4 linked regions of the Arabidopsis thaliana genome follow. The protein of the gene in region 4 interacts with the protein of the main gene of each other region in a pairwise test. Each region holds a gene or a part of one and is shown on either strand. Other genes may lie near its edges.

The links.
Region 1: the proteins of AT5G03180 (region 4) and AT1G19240 interact in a protein complementation assay, tested with the Arabidopsis thaliana proteins (one large-scale study listed by BioGRID).
Region 2: the proteins of AT5G03180 (region 4) and AT2G42390 interact in a protein complementation assay, tested with the Arabidopsis thaliana proteins (one large-scale study listed by BioGRID).
Region 3: the proteins of AT5G03180 (region 4) and ROP10 interact in a protein complementation assay, tested with the Arabidopsis thaliana proteins (one large-scale study listed by BioGRID).

Annotation. Positions count from the first base shown.
Region 1 is NC_003070.9:6,648,494-6,652,546, forward strand, and holds AT1G19240 (uncharacterized protein), read right to left. Parts: upstream 1,954-4,053; 5' UTR 1,892-1,953; coding exon 1,710-1,891; intron 1,202-1,709; coding exon 1,069-1,201; 3' UTR 750-1,068; downstream 1-749. Other genes in the region: AT1G19230 (Riboflavin synthase-like superfamily protein), read left to right, coding at 58-186, 268-346, 547-656; FMO1 (flavin-dependent monooxygenase 1), read right to left, coding at 2,163-2,529, 2,734-3,083, 3,170-3,348, 3,648-3,888.
Region 2 is NC_003071.7:17,650,436-17,654,470, reverse strand, and holds AT2G42390 (kinase C substrate, heavy chain-like protein), read left to right. Parts: upstream 1-1,827; 5' UTR 1,828-1,961; coding exon 1,962-2,055; intron 2,056-2,150; coding exon 2,151-2,264; intron 2,265-2,443; coding exon 2,444-2,539; intron 2,540-2,665; coding exon 2,666-2,860; intron 2,861-2,950; coding exon 2,951-3,090; 3' UTR 3,091-3,365; downstream 3,366-4,035. Other genes in the region: AT2G42395 (uncharacterized protein), read left to right, coding at 491-568, 669-905.
Region 3 is NC_003074.8:17,729,385-17,734,220, reverse strand, and holds ROP10 (RHO-related protein from plants 10), read right to left. Parts: upstream 2,885-4,836; 5' UTR 2,661-2,884; coding exon 2,556-2,660; intron 2,231-2,555; coding exon 2,143-2,230; intron 1,945-2,142; coding exon 1,835-1,944; intron 1,742-1,834; coding exon 1,678-1,741; intron 1,583-1,677; coding exon 1,518-1,582; intron 1,417-1,517; coding exon 1,351-1,416; coding exon of another isoform or gene 1,309-1,350; exon of another isoform or gene 1,250-1,308; coding exon 1,146-1,249; intron 1,005-1,145; coding exon 980-1,004; 3' UTR 708-979; downstream 1-707. UniProt on the Arabidopsis thaliana protein: Acts as a negative regulator of abscisic acid (ABA) responses.
Region 4 is NC_003076.8:753,075-758,662, forward strand, and holds AT5G03180 (RING/U-box superfamily protein), read right to left. Parts: upstream 3,560-5,588; 5' UTR 3,338-3,559; coding exon 3,260-3,337; intron 2,871-3,259; coding exon 2,415-2,870; intron 2,257-2,414; coding exon 2,088-2,256; intron 2,008-2,087; coding exon 1,552-2,007; coding exon of another isoform or gene 1,469-1,551; coding exon 1,377-1,468; intron 1,277-1,376; coding exon 1,127-1,276; 3' UTR 766-1,126; downstream 1-765. Other genes in the region: FLA11 (FASCICLIN-like arabinogalactan-protein 11), read right to left, coding at 1-564; CPUORF47 (peptide upstream protein), read left to right, coding at 5,465-5,586.

The sequences.
Region 1 (4,053 bases), on a different chromosome or scaffold from region 4:
CACCTCTTTACCATTGATCGATATACTAACATATTCCTTCATCTTCTCGTAATACAGGGCCAGATTGAGTTGCACAACTACCTTACAAGCGTATATGATGAAGGTGATGCAAGATCAACCCTGATAAAAATGGTCCAGGCTTTGAACCATGCCAAACATGGAGTTGATATTCTATCCGGAACACGGGTAAGAATTGATGCAGGGCATATAACCAGAAACTATTTGCCAATATTACCTATAACTGACAAAATAACATCATTCAAACAGGTGAGAACACATTTTGCAAGGCCCAACTGGAAGGAAGTCTTCAGTAGCATAGCAAGAAAGCATCCAAATTCGACAGTCGGTAATTATTCTATACAATCAGCTGCTTACCATCAAGACATCTTATAAATCTCTCTTCTAGGACTAACGAATTAATACCATTGGAAAAGAAAGAAAACTTGCAATAGGAATTATGACACATGCAAACACATGAACATGTCTGCTAATATTTAGGCCAGGTATTACGAAGCATATGTGAAAACAATTTATATAATTGTGCAGGAGTGTTTTACTGCGGCATACAAACCGTGGCAAAGGAGTTGAAGAAGCAAGCACAAGACATGAGTCAAAAAACAACCACACGGTTCGAGTTCCATAAGGAGCATTTCTAATTCAATGTTACAAGCCAGCTTCTATCACTTTCCCTAAAGTGAGATTCAAATCCAGCCCGCCATTATTTTTTTTCACACTAACTTCACAGTCACTTAGCAAAGTAGATTATATACACTATGTTAAAAAAGGAAACATTGTCTTGCCTGTTTGTATAGACCCCGCCTAAAGGCATGAAAATAACAAATCTAAGTTACTATACGAAATAATATACGTGTCTTTCCCAAGATGATTCAATCTCTCTTTCCATTACCACAAGCTACTAGTCACAAAGGCAGAGAAGCAAACAACAAATTTTCATTGATAAGGTGCCTCAGCACAGTATATTGGTACTAAAACACATTCAAGGATAAGAATAGAGTAATGCCTTTGTGCTAAGTGTACCAAAACTTGCAGTAGAAGACGAGGTTGGAGTTAATCATCCTTTATTCTTCTCAGTAATTTAGAAGCCCAGCGTCGAACCCGTCTCTTAAGTGTATAACCCACAAACACTCCAGCGACAAAGAAAACAGCGCACAACTTTGAACACGTCCAGACCGAAACTCCGCTGCCACCAAACACAGTCCCAAGATAGGTCAGATAATTTTCTTAAATTAGAACTAATAGTACACAAAACACGTAAAGCCATTACATATTAGTCGAATCAATCAGAAACAACCCAAAGCTCCTACTAGATAGTCTATAATCGACCTGCACAGTTTTGTTCCTCGGGTATCTAAGATCTTAGATCATTTGAACAAGCCATTACAAATTTACAAGCTCTGTGTGATGTGGAACTGGGAAATCATCATGGTCTCTAGGTTTTGAGCTATAACACAAAATCTGCCCTCTTTTTCATTTTTGTTCCATCTTTTTAAAATTTCTCTCAAGCAGGCAGACCAATTCATAATCCATCCACAGAAATAGTGATTATTATTATCATCCTTCCCATAATTAGAGAGAATCTGAAAAATTGGAGACATGCCCTCACTCACTCACCCAAAATTCTTAAAAGTTCTTAGCTTTACTGGCAAAATGATCTCTTTTCGAACAAATATTGAATAGAAGCAGCTTACCTGGGAGGTCTGGTTACCAGAGTGCCGGATCCTGCGTCGTATGTAGTAGTCAAGTTGCCGGCGGCGGCTCGTTTGTCTTGCATCAGATTATCCGCAAAATCAGATAGAGAAGACGACGAAGAAGAAGCTGCCGATTTCGCTTCTTTCACCATCTTGCTGTAAAACTTCTCCAAACCCTCCATTTCTGGCCGATCAATTAGGGTTTAGGGTTCAATGATGATTCCAGTCATGAAGGAAGCGATTGCTAAATTGACTTCTCGTTGACCAAAAGGACAAAATTGGAATTTCATAATTACTAGTTGAAAATAATCCTTGACCAAGGTCATACAATAATACAATATTATTATATAAAATATCATGTACTTTACACATACATTTATTTATTCATTAATTATACATCCATCACACAACAATTCGTAACAATTTCATTTTGTAATATATATTCAATTTAGTTTAAGCAGTCATATCTTCTTTTTCTTCTTGACCGAGTCGGTAATCTTGAGAACCATAAGGACTAAAAGCTTCAAGGAGGAAGTTGGATTTACGCCAAGGATTGAGTCCCATGTCGTTGCACATATCATCAGCATGTTGGATGCTGAACGTGGAAATGCAATGACGTTTGTAGAATCTGCTTGAGTTTCTCGTCACTTCCATTTCTTTTAAGAATTGATCCAACATCTTCTCTTTGCTTGGTAATCTGAATTTCTCATCCACTAGCCGGCTTAGCCACATTGAACGTAGCTCTGATGTGTGTAAGTTCGAGCTGCTTTGGACGTATCCTACGAAACCCATGTTTGGTATCAATGGATGGATTGTTCCCCTGTAAATGATTTAGTTTGTATAAGCAACGGTCCAAATTTCATGAGTATACTAATAAAAGAATATATAGGCTTCCACTTGTACCACTGAATATGTTTATAGTCATAGAACTATATATTATAGCATGATCGTCTTTTTAAGTGTGCAACTAATGCATTTTCACATAATTTCAATTAATCTAAAGACGATTTTTATGTGTATGTACCTGTATAAAGGCATGACACCGCTTGGAAACTCAAGCCAAGTTCGGAAAGGTTCAGGAACAATAGCTTTGAGCTTCTTCTTGCCATCATAACCAGTAGCAAGTATCACAACATCAGCTTCTAATGTCGTCCCATCTTCAAACACAATCCCTTCTTCATAAAACCACCATTTTGATGATTTCTTAAACCGGATCATCCCTTTATCCGCTTCCTCAAAGAAATTCTCCGGTATGATCGCCATTTGACAAGAAGCATAGTCTTCCTCGAAAGAATGGTTTGGTTTTAGACCATATTTCTCAAGAGGTAGCTTCCATAAAACATATGATTCGATGAACTTGGAAACTACGGCACGCTGTTGTCACATATATGTTAAGAAACTTATAAAATTCTCAAGATTTTTGCATATAGAGAAGTGAAAAAGGTAATAAGATGACTAACCAGAAGAGAGAAGAGGAGGCAAAAGAGAGTTCTAAGGAAGCTTTGGTTAGGCCTATCATGGAGGAACTGAGAAGCTCTCGAAGAGTAGAACAAGAAGAATGGTAAGCCCCACACCCAATAATGTGGGATCCCCCAATGAGTTGTTCTCACCACCATTGTGCAAGCTTTTCCTCCTTCCCCTGCAAAATTTAAATATTATATTTAATTATGGGAATCAGATTAAATAAAGATCGAAATCGGTCATCTTAGGATATATATTTAATATGTTGTTTAATTAACTTGCGAGTAACTGTTTAATTGTTGCCAACTAGAACCATATACGTTCCAAGTCCAACCGAAAAGAAATAATATATACTAGTAAGTAAGACAATTATTGCTATCACTATATAGTATATATATTTTATCTTTATTTTGACTTGATCAGCCAATTATTAAGAGTGAAGCTAATTTATATAAATAGACATAGATATCTATGTACCTTGATTAGCTAAAGCAGACTCTAAAGCCAAATCAATGGCGGATTTCTTGAAGCCGATGACGGCTACTTTTTTGCCACTGAGGAGAGTAGAAGCTTCTTCTTTCTCTAACTTGCAGTAATCCATCGAATGCATTACTTTTCCTTGAAACATCTCCGGCCCTTTCTTTGCCGGAAAAGCTGGTATTCTTGGAACGTCGCCGTATTTCCCGGTACACACAACCACGAACTCAAATGCATGCCACTGCACACAAAAACATTGATATACAATATTTCATAAATGATGCATGCAGTAATATGGCAGTTTGAGATCCGGCTTAGGCTTCAAAGTTACCGAAAAACAATCGAGACAAACATTGAGATACGTAAGTTTAAATATGCGTATGCACCATTTGCTCGTGTAAATGCA
Region 2 (4,035 bases), on a different chromosome or scaffold from region 4:
AACTCAAGACTCCTGCAACAATAGCTCCAAGTTGTCTCCAGCATTCTACAAAAGAGCCATCGCCACCTCTGTTTTCTTTTTTTTTTTCTTTCTGACTGTATTATGAAGAGATAGGATCTTTGATGTGTTGTGTTAATATGGACAAGTCTGGTCTTTGCCCTTTTTCTTGATAGAATCGTAGATGGGTTTGTAAATTTTTGCATTTTATTTTTCTCCTTTAAAACCACAAGGATTTTGTTAACGAAGTGGTGTATTCATATTTCAAAGGTACATTTGCAACACCATTGATTCTTTATTCCAATTCTTATCTACGTGTGTGTGTGAATGAAACTTGAAACCAATACAAGTCACTAATGCTCTCAGATTATGTAATTGGGCTTTACTGGGCCGTTTATAAAATTGGGCTAGAAAAAGGGAGACAGCAGACGACAAGAGCATCCTTGTTCTCTTTAAACCCTAAATTACAAGCAAATCACCAACAGAGAGAGTAATGGCGAAAAATTCTGGTAGCTCGTTTGAAGCAGAGAAATCAGAGGGAAAGTGTGTTACGACGACTACTGAAGCACAAGTAATTCAAAATTCTGGCTGATGAATTATGTATTTGATTTTACGTATTTGTAATTCACTAATTCTCACTGATTCATACAATTTGTGTCGTAAATGAACAGCAAAGTAGTCAACCTGTTTTGAGCAAGGAAGAGGAGAAAGTGAGAGATAGCTACTTGTTCTGCTGTGAAAATTTCTACACTCTTCCTGAGATGATCAATTTCATGAAGGAGATTCATGGTGTAGAACAAACCACTGTGACAAAGGTTTTCAGGGAACTTTTAAAAGGTAGAAAAGCTGAAGCATATCTCAGAGAATCTCAGAAAAGAATGAAGGCAAGAACAACAACAACAACTTGAACAGAGGAGGATGAGGCTTAGGTTGCTCTAATTTGAAATTCTTTGGTTTGGTTTACTGGTTAGTAAGAAATAGACTTGTATTGTCACATTTTTTTATCATATTTTGAGGTCCATTGCTTTGGGTGTATGGACCAGACTAGGACAAATGAATAGGAGATGCAAAAGGGTAATAATGGAGAAGTCAGTCTTGTTGGTCTATTCTTGTCCGAGTCCATGATTTTTAGAGGGAGAACTAGAAGGAGGAACTAAAAGTTGTTTAGGTTAATGGTTTAGGTGCTAAGTGTTGGCTCTGTGTGTTACTTATGACTCGTGGGATCTAATGTCTTGTGAAAAATCACTTGTGAGATAAAATGGACATAGTCTAGAGAAGAAGGTATATAAGAAGAAAAGCAGTCAACTTAACTACAAAATCACAACGGCTCACAACTGTTTTATGTTGTAGAAGTTGGTTGCTTCTTAGAGTGGTTCATTCTTCATTACCAGCTAACCGCAAATAACCGTGACTTGAAGTCTTTCGAATTACACTTCTTTCACTCGTGGTTCAAACTTCTTCTGTTCAAGTTGTTATGCCTTCTCCAGCCATTACTTGATTTCAAAATGGTGTTGATGGTCTCATTCTTGAAGGCTTGGATGTTTCTCAACTTTTTGCTCTTGAACAAGAGCCAAGAGGTGATGGGACTCCGTAGTACAAACACAATTTAAGAACGTTTGAGTAAGAGTTTTGATTCACATTGAAAAAAAAACTTAGAAGAAAAAATGAACCAAACTAAAATAATCAAATTAATTTAGTTTATTAATCAAGAATTAAATCAAGTTTTAATAATAACCTGAATTGTAGATTTTTTTTCTTTTCTTAATAGTCGAATACTGAACACTGTAGTATTAAATGAAAACTCAAAGCCCAATATAATTCAAAGCCCATCGAATCAAATATCTGGCCACTCCACTTATTCTTAACTTGAAACTTAAAAGCCGAAATCGTAAAGAGAGAATCTGGTCGGAATAATCCACTCGAATCTTAAAACGACGTCGGTTTAACCAAATGCGAGTCAACGGATGCTGCTGCAATGCGTCGTGTTGTGTTCGTCACTCGCCGTCGTCGTCATCTCCGTCGCTTCGACCTCTCCCCTCGTTGGTGTTCACCCTTTAGGTTACTTCTTCGATGACTCTTATCTTTATTATATCGACAAATCTGAAAAATGTTCTTGTTCTCTGATTCTTACTTACTTCTTTGTTGTGAGGCAGATGAAAAGTATTTCGACTCAGATGTTATCAAATGCAAAGATGGCTCCAAATCTTTCACAAGAGATCGTCTCAACGACAACTTCTGCGATTGTCTCGACGGCACCGATGAGCCTGGTACACACTTTTTTCTCAATTTAGAATCCAGAGAGCTGAGATGACATGAGACTTTAAATTCTTTCCAGATAAAAAGATTTAGGACTAGAATTGATCGAATCTTATTCTCTTTCACAATTTCAATTATGAAAAATGTGTTCTTGTGAGTAAGTTTCTGAATTTCTGATTTTGCATTACAGGAACTTCGGCATGTCCAAATGGCAAATTTTACTGTAGGAACATTGGAAGTTCTCCAAAGTTCGTTTACTCTTCTCGTGTGAATGATCGAATCTGTGGTCAGTAGTTACTAATGTTCTGAATTCGACTAAATGATTCTCGTTTCAGCTGTCTCTTGCTGTATGCTAGTAATCTACATGTTTTTGTTGGATTGGATAAGCAGCATGACATTGTCTGTTTCTCAGATTGCTGCGATGGAAGCGACGAGTACGAAAGTAGCATTCATTGTCCCAACACTTGTATAATGGGTGGTAACGTTAACTACATCTACAAACCTAGAGCCAACCTTAAATCTATACACTTGCAACTCGGTTCAACGCCTCATCCAAAGGAGTTTTATACTATAGGAAATCTTCAGGACATGGTCAAGAATCTACAAGGTTTTGCAACTTTTCTTGGGAAGCTTATTTGTTTTGTTTGATTGTCTAGCAAACTGATACAAAAACAATTGTTGTTGTTGTTGTTTCCAGGTATGAAGCTTGTTTTCGCTCTTCAGATGGTTTTTATCGGTTTCTTAGTGATCTTATGGATGCTTAGGAGTCGTGCTCGGTCTAAGAGACGACGCTATCTGCTGAAGAATGTACCTCCCATTAATAGATCAGCTAACTAACTCCCTGGAACTTGTATTATACTTTTGTGAAGCTTTTACGTGGAACCTGAGTGTTAAAGCCACATATGTCAAGTGTCATTACTAGCTATACTTATTCAGTGTGAGATTGTTTGTTCCTAGTTACATAATTGTCTTGGTCTTCATGTTTATTAAGCCTTCAGATCCTCAGACCATAGTAGGTACCGATGAGTCTTATCACAAGTAAGATAGTCACATGATCTGCAGATTTTCTAGAAAATGGATGGATTCACAATTTGAATGATCTCATGGTGAATTATTCGACTGATATAAGGTTTTATGAAAATGAACTCTTGTTTGTTTCTCACAGACAAAATCAATATACAAAAAACATTACAAGCCATTGAAGAGAAGAGAGAAATTTACAGTTAAAAAATCCTGAAAAAATGATTTGTAAACTCAAGATTGGAAACATCCACAAGTTGCCTTTGGAACAATTCTAATGGCCCAGTATTTTAGCAGCCGTTTCTTCTTGCTTCTCCACGCTTACCTTCAATCATTGCACTTCTTTCTTCTGCTTCCTTGTGAGTCACTGAAACCTAATTCATCCTCTCTGCATACTCCTGCTTTCTTCTTCTCTAGTTCCTCCTGCAGTGAAACAAATTCACAAACACTTCACTTCTCATTGTTCTCAATCACATTGAAACAGTATCAGCTCTCTATTGCTAAGTTTATTTTACCTCCATTTTCTTGAGTTGCACTTCGACAGCTGCTTTCTTCACTTCTCAACGGAAAACTAGTCACATAGTTTAGTTTAAGGTCACCTCTAACGAGTGAAGCAGACCAAGATTTCGCCAGTGCAGATTCTGTAAGAATTTTCATTCTACTAAAACATAAACAGCAATATGCCAAGCCTTAACACAAAGAGTGTCACAGGTAAACACATACAGAGCAAATGCATGATTCTGTCATAAAGCTTCAAATTTA
Region 3 (4,836 bases), on a different chromosome or scaffold from region 4:
TCCACAAACCTTAGTGTTTTATGACCTCTCTTTTTGTTTTTCTCTCTCTTACTAATGTTTCAGTTACATTTTTACTCTGCTAGTTACTAAGAGATGAGAGTGAATGTGATGCCACAAGGCTTCATTGGCTGGCCTGCTCTGTACAAATGAGGCATGGGTGAGTCAATTTGCGACTTCACAGTGGTCTCAACCTTTTTAAGAACACAAACCTGACCTCTTGGTTTCACCATCATGTAGATCTTCCAAAAACAGTCCTAAATTCACCGGAGTGGCCATTCTCTTTCAGAAGAGTCATCAACAAGGTTCTCAGCGAGAGACCCGCATCACCACCTCCCCACAAAGAGTTTTAAAAGGTGAAAACACACTTTTAGGTCATTTTTCATGCATGTGTGTATCTCTATACACCGGCTCAAAAAACTAGCGATAAAACAAATGTTGGTGGCTTTTGAGTGTGTTCAAAATGATAAAAAAAAAAGTCTTTCGCATTGTGGCTTTACATGTGTGCGTTAGGTGATGGGGGTTGTATTATAGACACAAGATTAGTTACTTCTTTTTATCTTTCTTTTTCCAGTTTGTAGATTTATTACTTCTTGTGCTGGTTCTGTTTGAAATTTACAGGCTTCTTCTTACTTGTCACGCTTTTGTCGTTTGGTCTTGGATCTCATAATAGGACCAAATAAATTCGAATATGTGATTAAGGATTCACCTTTTTTCGAAAGAAGCAAGTGTTAACCACGTTAAGTCGTGAACTACTCCAAGTTTTGGCTACAAAATGGCTATAACAATTCTATAAGGGTCAAACCAAATCGAAACAAACAAACATCAGGGTCACATATACAAACAGAATCGAAGAAGCTACTAATTGAGGCTCATCTCTGCCAGAGTCTATGTAATTCCGACTTATCAGAATCACAAACTGGCCAATTAGAAAAGAAAAGAAAAAAAAAGAAGTGAACAATCATCAGATGGAATTGACTCATCAATTCTTCCCACACAGAATGTTTCTGCACAATAGAGAAGCCAATCTATAATCATTACACAAACAAACAAAACTGTATGAAGAAGCTAAAGGTTGCATAACCAAATTCTAGTATTACATAATTTCTTAGTTATATATTAAAAAGAGTGAAGATTATTGAACTTACGAGAGACATCCGCTGCGAGGCTTCTGCTTCTTCTTCTTCTCCTTTTGTTTCACTGCTGGTTTAATTACTACTTTAATAGCAGCATCAAATACGGCTTTCACATTCTGCAAAAGCCATGAACCAAAGAAAAGCATATAGTTTGCAAGTAAAGAGTCACCTAACACTAATGACTCCTAAGTTTCCAAACACACATGAACAAGTGTACCTGTTGAGTTTTTGAGCTACATTCAATGTAATAAGTCGCTCCGATATGCTTGCGGAGTTCCTCTCCCTGTAACACATGAATGATTAAATCATATAAAACCTAGAGAAGAGAGAGTCTAGAGAATGTCACAACAATCTTTTCGGTTTCTACAGGTTGAAAAAGCACACCTGTGATGTAGTTACCGGGGACAGTCCAGGATGATCAGACAAGTAATGTCTATCTTCACGAAGATCTAGATAACGGAACATTGTAAGAAACATTACATATATGTGATTCTCAAGCATTACACAAGGAAATATGTTGGCTCCACTCTTATAGCTATCTTACCCATTTTGGTACCAACAAGCACAATGGGGACTCCTGGTGCAAAGTGTTGGAGTTCAGGGATCCACTGAACAAAATAAACGCTTCAAAAACATCAGAAATTCACATTTCATTCTTTGTTTTCCCAGTAAGAAATACAATGAATCCAATTTCCACAAACCTTTTTAAACACATTCTCATAGCTAGCTCGGCTGATCAATGAGAAAGCCAACACAAAAACATCTGCTCCTCTGTAACTTAAAGGCCTTAGTCTGTTATAGTCTTCTTGCCCTGCAAACATGAAAGGGTACTCATAATCATAAAACTCTTAACAGTCACTAATCTTCAACACTCCCTATAAAGTTCTCTATCTAAGAATCCCAAATCAAAAGCAAACTTGCTAGATGTTAGAAAGATTAGAACCACATAACATTAGTGAACTTGGTTATTCTGAGATATTCAAGAGAGGGATACAGAAATGTTACTTACCGGCAGTGTCCCAAAGGCCTAAGTTCACAGTGATGCCTTCAACCACAACATTAACACTAAAGTTGTCAAAAACTGTTGGTATGTAGTCCTGATACAATCCATCAAGCAAATCTTTAACTTCACGAGAACAACAAATGCGCAATAGAGTAAGAGGAAACACTGGTGAATCAAGAAAGCCACTAACTTTACAATGTAAGATTTTTCAGAATCTCCAAAAAAGGATTATTTTTGCACAATCCCTAAAAAAGGAGCTAACTTTGAAATACCATGCTAAAATTCTCGGTGAAAGAGTTGAAATTTGACAGACCCAGAAGTATATTCAACTAAAAGTGACGAAATTGGAGATGCCCGAAAGAACAATTTGATGAAAAATCAGCGAAACTGTGATTTACTTGATCAAATTTTAAACTTACAGTAGGGAATTTGTTGCTAGTGTAGCAGATGAGCATACAAGTTTTTCCAACGGCACCATCTCCAACAGTCACACATTTGATGAATTTTGAAGCACTCGAAGCCATTCTAACTCACCAAAAGCAAACAACTTTCAACGAAGAAACGCCCAAAAACCAGAGAGATTGTGAGAGAGATAATAGAGAGATAAATGAAGTGATTAACATGAGGAAGTGTGGTAATAAACTATATAAACCCCATATGATTAAAAAAACTAAACTCTCTTTTTTTTCACTTTTCTTTCAATATTTTCAAAGTTTCAATTTTGTATTTTTGTCTCTTTCGTTTTTTGGTTTGAAGACTGAAGAGAGGGAAAGAAGAGGGGCTCACATGATATATCCATCTAATCCACATGACTTTTCTAAATCGTTTCATATTTATCGCTTTTACAAATGTATTAGATTTTAACCCGTGGTATACCGCGAGACGATTAATTTTTTAAAGGTAATATATATTAAAACTTGCAAATTTTATTTTTATAAAATATTTATATTTTACGGTTTATAATTGTTATTAAGTAACGCTATGCCACGAATCTATAAGACAATTGTTAAAAAACTGAAGTTTTAACCCTTATTAAAACAGCATATTAATAATATTTTATAATTTTATAAATATTGATTCAAATACATCCACCATATAACCGAATTCCAAAATAAAACTCGTTCTGTAATTTCTTTACCCGTCCCGTGAGTTTTTTTTTAAGTCGTAATTTTTAAAATTTAAGAATTATTTATTATATATAAAAGTTTTGCAAATTGTATCATTCTCTAATACATTTATATTTTATAGTTTAATTTTATATATAGTAACATTATACATATCACATAACATTTTTGGTTTTATATAATATTTTCTAAATTAGGATAATTTGATATGTTTAATATTAGTGGTCTTAAAAAATAATAAATTAAAGATTTTACCCGTATTGAAACGGTGGATTAATTATATTTTACTTTTTTATTAATGTTGATTCAAAAACCCGTCCTTCTAAATCCGTCTTGCCAAAAAGCCATTTATTTTATTCATATTAATTTTATTTATGATATGACTCTGAATTCTAAACATTTTAGCTAATAACATAGGAGTGCACCATATTTATTTAATAGGGGAATGTACCATATGACCCGAATGCACTTTTATCCAAATCCACCAAAAAAATCTTGCAAAAATACTATAGAGATAAGAAACGATAGTCGGTTTTAATAGGTATAAGATTAGCAAATATATTAGTTAGCTTAAATTAGTTAAAGAATACAAATTAAAAAGGTATATTACACTTTATTCGAATATAATATCAAAACTTATATAACACAGAGATTTGATAAATTTTTAATTGTTGAATACTTTTTTTTTGTACAAATTTTTATGTGATTAAGATTTATTGATTTCGTATATAAAATATTAAATTGTTTTACGAACTTATTTGTTTATAATTTGGTAACAGAAAGATATTTGAATATTCGGTATATTTTGCTTTAGTTTAGAAAATCTTTGATGACCCGTCTTTAGATTCAACAAGCCCTATAATTAAGAAATGAATATTGTCGTTAAATGATTTTGGTAACCTTAATGATGTCATTAAAAGATTTTGTTTTTGATTAAATTTTTCTAATGGTATTGTCATGTAATTAATTACAAAAATTAAGGTTACATTTAAAATGTATTTCCCAAATAATATAGTAGGATTAAAAGGATACTAAAAGCTAATCACATGCTTAAGAAGCATTGATTATAGTACGTTATTTCTTTTTCTTTATCGGTTGATCCTTCTTATTTTGTTTAGCATTAAAAACTGTTATATTTTGCCATCATTTTTTTTGTAAGATTCTGGCATTACTCATTACCAATTAATTGTATAGATTATTTCAATAAAACAAATTTTACCTGGTTCTAGCTAGGAGAAATGAACATAACTTGGTTAAACACATATGTAGTTATAGAAGAGAGAAAGATATATATATATATAGGAATTAGGATTAACTCTGAATTGGGGACTTTTAAGTTTTGGAAAATAGCAACCAAACTTTTCCTTCTTTTTTTCTGTAACATCTGCTATCAAACTTATTCATCAATCTTAGTAAAGTATAATTTTGTTATTTCAAAACAAAAGTATCCAAGCTAAATTGGGTTTTCATATCTGATTTGTGGGTTTGATAAAATTGGTTACACACTATCGTGCTGCCAAAAAAAACAATAGACCCAAAAGGCCCATGTCTTTGGCCTTGTATGGCTGTATCATCA
Region 4 (5,588 bases):
GCTTGATCCAAACATGGCTAATGGCAGCAAAACTTGATCAACCTGATAAACGGCCAGCTGCTTATCGCTGTAGACAGAGTTAGCCACGGTGGCGCTGACAACTCCAGTGGTGATGTTAACTTGGTTACCGGAGCTAGTGATGTTAAGAGGGAATTTACCGTTTTGGCCATCTCCAGCTTGCGTGCGTAAAGGGTTACTAACGGTTTGAAACTGAGGCATGGTTATGAGTGTAGGTAAGACATGGAACTGAACAAGCTGAACTTTTTGTTGGTCAGACAATGAGTTTAAGGTTCCGGATTTGAGGCTGTTGAAGGCGTTATCAGTCGGGGCAAACACGGTTAAGCCATTACTCGAGGAAGAATTGAGCTGAGTGTTGATTTGGTCTGAGGCTTGAGTGCTTTTAAGAAGTCTTATGAACAATGTGAATTGACCAGCCTTTTCTAGGATTGCGGTTATGTTCGTTGGACCTGAAGGGCCTGGAGCTGGAGCCTGACCATAAGTAGTGGCTATAACGAGGAAGAAGATGAAGAGATTAGAGAAAATGAATGTTCTTGAAGTAGCCATTGTTGTAGTTGTTGTGTGTGTATGTTGAGATGTTTTGGGGTTTGTTATATAGAGAGAGATGTAGTTTGGTGAAGAGTAGGATTCTCTTACTAGTGTGAAGATTATTACTAGGTAACTAAATGAGATTCTATCAACTAAGTCATTAGAGATTGGAAATGTTTCTTTTAGGTTTAATAAAGTTTGTTTGAATTGAGAAAGAGAGAGGAGAGACATTGCTTTGAAGGGAGAGTTTGGGTGGGTGAGGATTGAAAATGAAAAATGAACTGAAAAAGGTGTTATAGTGACCTGTCAAAAAAGCTGTGAAGAAGTGTTATCCAAGAAATATGGATTGCTAATCATACTACTGTTCATTATGATTTTATGTGTCATGTGTGTGCCTATCATCATTCCTTATATTTTAGTTGGCAAAAAAAAAAAGACTTGGAAGTATTGAAAACCAAATCTGATCTCAACCTAGACAAGTCGATTAAAGCTAAACCGAAAACCGAATCCCGACCGGTTAATTGAAAACCGATCCAACCCTTTAGGGACTCTAGCTTCACTCAAAAGATCTACGCTGCTGTCAAACCACCTGAGTACTTGCTGGCTCTTCTGGCAGGTGGGAATTGCTTCTCCTCCATTTCAAATACTCGTTAATAGCTGTTGTGCCGGTCATGGTGAGTCCAAATCCGATCATAGTGGCTAAGACAATGCACATTACCGGCTGCTTCACCTACACACAAGTTAATGAGAGAGAGTGTGAGGAATCAAAAACTCTTCAACAAAGTAAGGTTTCTCTGTGACAACAAAGTAAGGTTTCTCTGTGACATTACATCAAATCTTACAACTCTGTAGAAAAGCTGAGCGAAAAGGACCACAAAACCGAACTGAACGGTGGCGTAGATCCATACATAGTTCTTCTTCACTGCAACAAACCAAACCACTTAAGACTGATGATCAATATAGAATACGAAAAAATATATAATTTCGAAGTAGCTTCTTTATTACCCATTGTTGTTGATATCATTGATGCAAGAAGACCGATAATGCAAGAGAACGGTAAAGCTATTGCAACGGCGCTAGATTTCATATCTATAATCAGAAGCTGTTCAAGGAAACAGAAGTATGCAAGCATGCTTACAATGACAAGAATTGGAATATCTTGCCATACATTATTGAACCGTGAAATCTCGATATCCCTGGCTGCTCTAGAACGGTTTTGAGAATCCTGCACACGTAGAAGGGTAACCGGGAGATTTCTCACCTCTTGCTTACACACATCACATGTTATGTTCCCTTTAATTGTAAACCATTTGATAGTGCACGTTTTGTGGGCAAGAGCTAGTTCCCCTTTGCACATACATTCCATCTTAAAAGCTTCTTCATCTTCTTCCATTTCAACCATACAGATTCTACACACAGCTTCTTCTTCAGGAACATCTTCTCCACCATCATCATTTTCATCTGAACACATATCACATAGTTTGTTACATAGAGTCAAAATATGGCATCACAAAGATATGTCTGGGAAGGTGATTTGTAACCGTGGAGTTTACTCAATTTCGATGCCTGCGTCATCTCTAGTCTCTTCTCATCCCCACGAGACGGAGTAGGAATCACGCGGAAAACACTTGACGGCTTTACACTTCCATCTTTGTTGAAGAATGTGGGGACAGAGCGTGTACGACGAATAGGCAGTAAACGCTCCCCTTTCTAGTAAAAAGAACAGTAAAATCAAGTAAAGCAGAAGATAAACAGCTTCTCTAAAGCTAAGACAAATGGAAAATGAATCAATTCATCAACTGAAATACTCAACAAGATAATCTCCCTTATTAATGGTATAACCAAGTTTTGTAAGATAGAATACTGACCATGGATGTAACCGGATCAACCTCAACGGCATACCTCCCGTTCATGGACTCAGGGTTTGAGTGAGTTATAAAAGACTCTGTCTTCTTAGATTTTCTAGGAGCTAAGAGATTAGTGAGAGACCATGTTCTTGGAATATAAGACTTATCACTACCATCTCCTAAAGGGGACACAACACCTTCCTCAATATCTGCACTGTGGTTCCTGTTTTTGAAATTCTTCTGATTCGTTCTGTTTCTTGACGAGGAAGGACTCATTGATCCAACACGTCTCCCAGTTCTAGGGCTGGACATTGGAGAAAACTTGAACCTTTTGGAAACGGGGCTATGAATTAAGGAACCATTTGCTCTCAAGAAATCGCCATGAGCTTCTCTCGATTGTATATCTAACACAAGGCCTCGCCATCGTTGATGTTGGCTCGGTGATAGCATTTCTGTTATCTCAGTAGAATCTCCAACCTGGAAAACTCAAAAGAAGACTTTTGTATCAGTTCCTCACAAAGTTGGATCCTTGAAAACTCATGTTCCTCAATGAGCAATTACAATCCCTAGATTTTCACAAAAATGTGTGCCTTAAACCTGGAATCTCCGGAAAACATAATTGAAGCAGTTCCATGATTTACAAGTGACAATTCAACAAGTACTAATGATCAAAACAATCCCTTAAACCCTGATCTTATAACCCTAAACTCTCAAGAGCTAAGCTAAATCAGAAAGAAAGAAAAAGAAGATCAATTTTGAGATACCCATGAACTAAAAACCACTGAAATTAGCTTAAAGCATGAATCTTTCAGGAAAAATTCAAAATTTTGGGAATTGAGTTAAGACTTAAGAGTGAGAAAACTCACCATTAGAGCTGGAGAAGTACCTTCGCAAGACCAATGTTCTACTACTTCGCGATATTTATCTTTATCATCCATCACCATCAAATTACAAAACCCAGAAACAGTGAAGTAAAAGAAGAATCTCAGGAAAACAAAGTATCAATCTTTGGGATTAATTTGCTTAAAAGGACTAATTTTTAGGAGAAATGATAATCTGAGAAAGAAGCTTTTGATCAAGAACACTCATATAGGTTGCTTCAATTTTGTGTGCTTACTCAGTGCCTGCCCCGTTTCTCTCAACTAAAGAAGTAAATTGGATTCGGCGGTTTTTATTTTTATTGTTTTGTCTCTATTACTTACTTAAGTAATAACCTCTTTTTTTTTTCTAATTTTGGTATATATCTTTAACCAGTGGTGCATATAATTTTGAATCAAAATTTCCAGCTTACATGTCAAATAAAAATTGTCTTCAACATTCTTGTGAAAGAAGAAAAAGAAAATCATGTTTCTATTCAAAAATTTGAATGCATCAAATGTGTAAAGCAATAGTAAGAAGGTAATCAAGTATGGCAGCCCACTCAAATGTATGTACAGATTACAGATATTCATAACATTTTAAAAAATGATTCAAAAATGGTTTATGGATATTATCTGAACTTCTGCTGAATGTTTTAGAACATTTCACAAATAGGTTATGTGTATTTCTGATCATATTTGGAACAAAATCTGATTAAACAAAAAAAAGAAACAATGAATTTTTTAAAAACAAAATCTGAACATATTTATAACAGAAAAAGAGATTAGGAAAAAAATATTATGTATGAAAATTTTGTTGGAAGAAAAATACAGATTGTCTTTACTTATTTAGATGTGCAATGCTGAGTTTATCTTATACTGCTTTTGAAAGATAAAACAACAAAAAAAATACTTTTGTAATTTATTTATTAATTGGGAAAAAGGAGAAAAAGTATAACATTTCGAGAGAAAGAAGTAAATAACATTGAGAGTGATAAACCTTTGGACAACAATTTAAAATTCTGTCGAGATAAGAACGACTCATAACGCAAAATATGGTAGTTACGCTGACACAAACAAAGAAATAATGGATAAGGCAAAATGTAACACGCATCACACCTAAGTAGGATCGATGTCTCAACAAACACATGTACAAGTGTACATCAAACCGACTAAATGTATAGATTATGTTTATGATATGAATGACTATAAGATGGTTAACAATGTGAATTTTTTTTCACGAAACTATATCAACGACGTGTCGAAAGAGCATGTAATCTTACAAATCTGATAGCATTTTTAGTGCTATACTCTGAAGGCTGAAGCACATGAAAGATGAAATGAAATCATGCTTGACAGAAAATGGGACGGTGACGATATCAAAAGCAAAAAAATAATTGTGGAAGGCCCAACTCGGCCCAACTTAGCCAAAACTGTGTGGCCACCACTCGACTCGTGTTCGATCCAAAACATAATAGGTTTACATTTTACAAATTTTCAGAGTTTTTTTTTGCTAACTTAAAAAAAAAAAAAAAAGAGAGTTTATCTATGCTAGGTTGGATGATTAATATGATTAGCGTACAATATTATTTCTTTTTTACAACCATTCAAAAAAATTAGTTTCCTAAAAACTTTTTAAGAAAATTAAAACAGAAACTACTTGGGATCAACACGTATGTGTTCACCACCCACACGGATATGGACACTGTGTAGGGACAACAGCCAAATTCAACATCAAATAATTATTTCGAAGGCACAGACAATAAGTGGGAGCCACTCGTTTTTGTCAAAAATATTGAATAACAAATTAGCGATATAAACAATTCTCACTTATTCTGTTTAAAAAAACGATTATTGGTAGTTTGGTACTACTACTCAATAATCATAGAAGACCATGAAAACGAAATCCACGTAGTATGTGTATAATCACAAACGGTCAAACATTTAACATTAGCATAAATTCTTGTCACGTGGCAATATTGTGGCGGTAGAATTTTAACATTGTGGTTAGCTTCACCATTAAATCTGTTAAAAGCGCTTCCTCACTCACTCTTCTTCCCCAAAAAAAAAACAAGACAGAGGAAGAGAATCACGAAACCATAGTCCCAAACCCTTCGAATCTATAAGCATTTCTCAAACACAATCAAGAAACTGTGTTTAGCTTTTAGATTTCTACAAGCATGTAAGACGAGATTTTGTTTCTTTTTTTTCTGCATGGTGGATCGAACGGTGAGAATGGGGACGGAGGTGAAGTCGATTAGGGTTCCAAGAAGGGTCTGGTTTGGATCACAAATATCTATAGTTCTCCTCGTGGGTGGAAACCATACCTCCTCCAGGT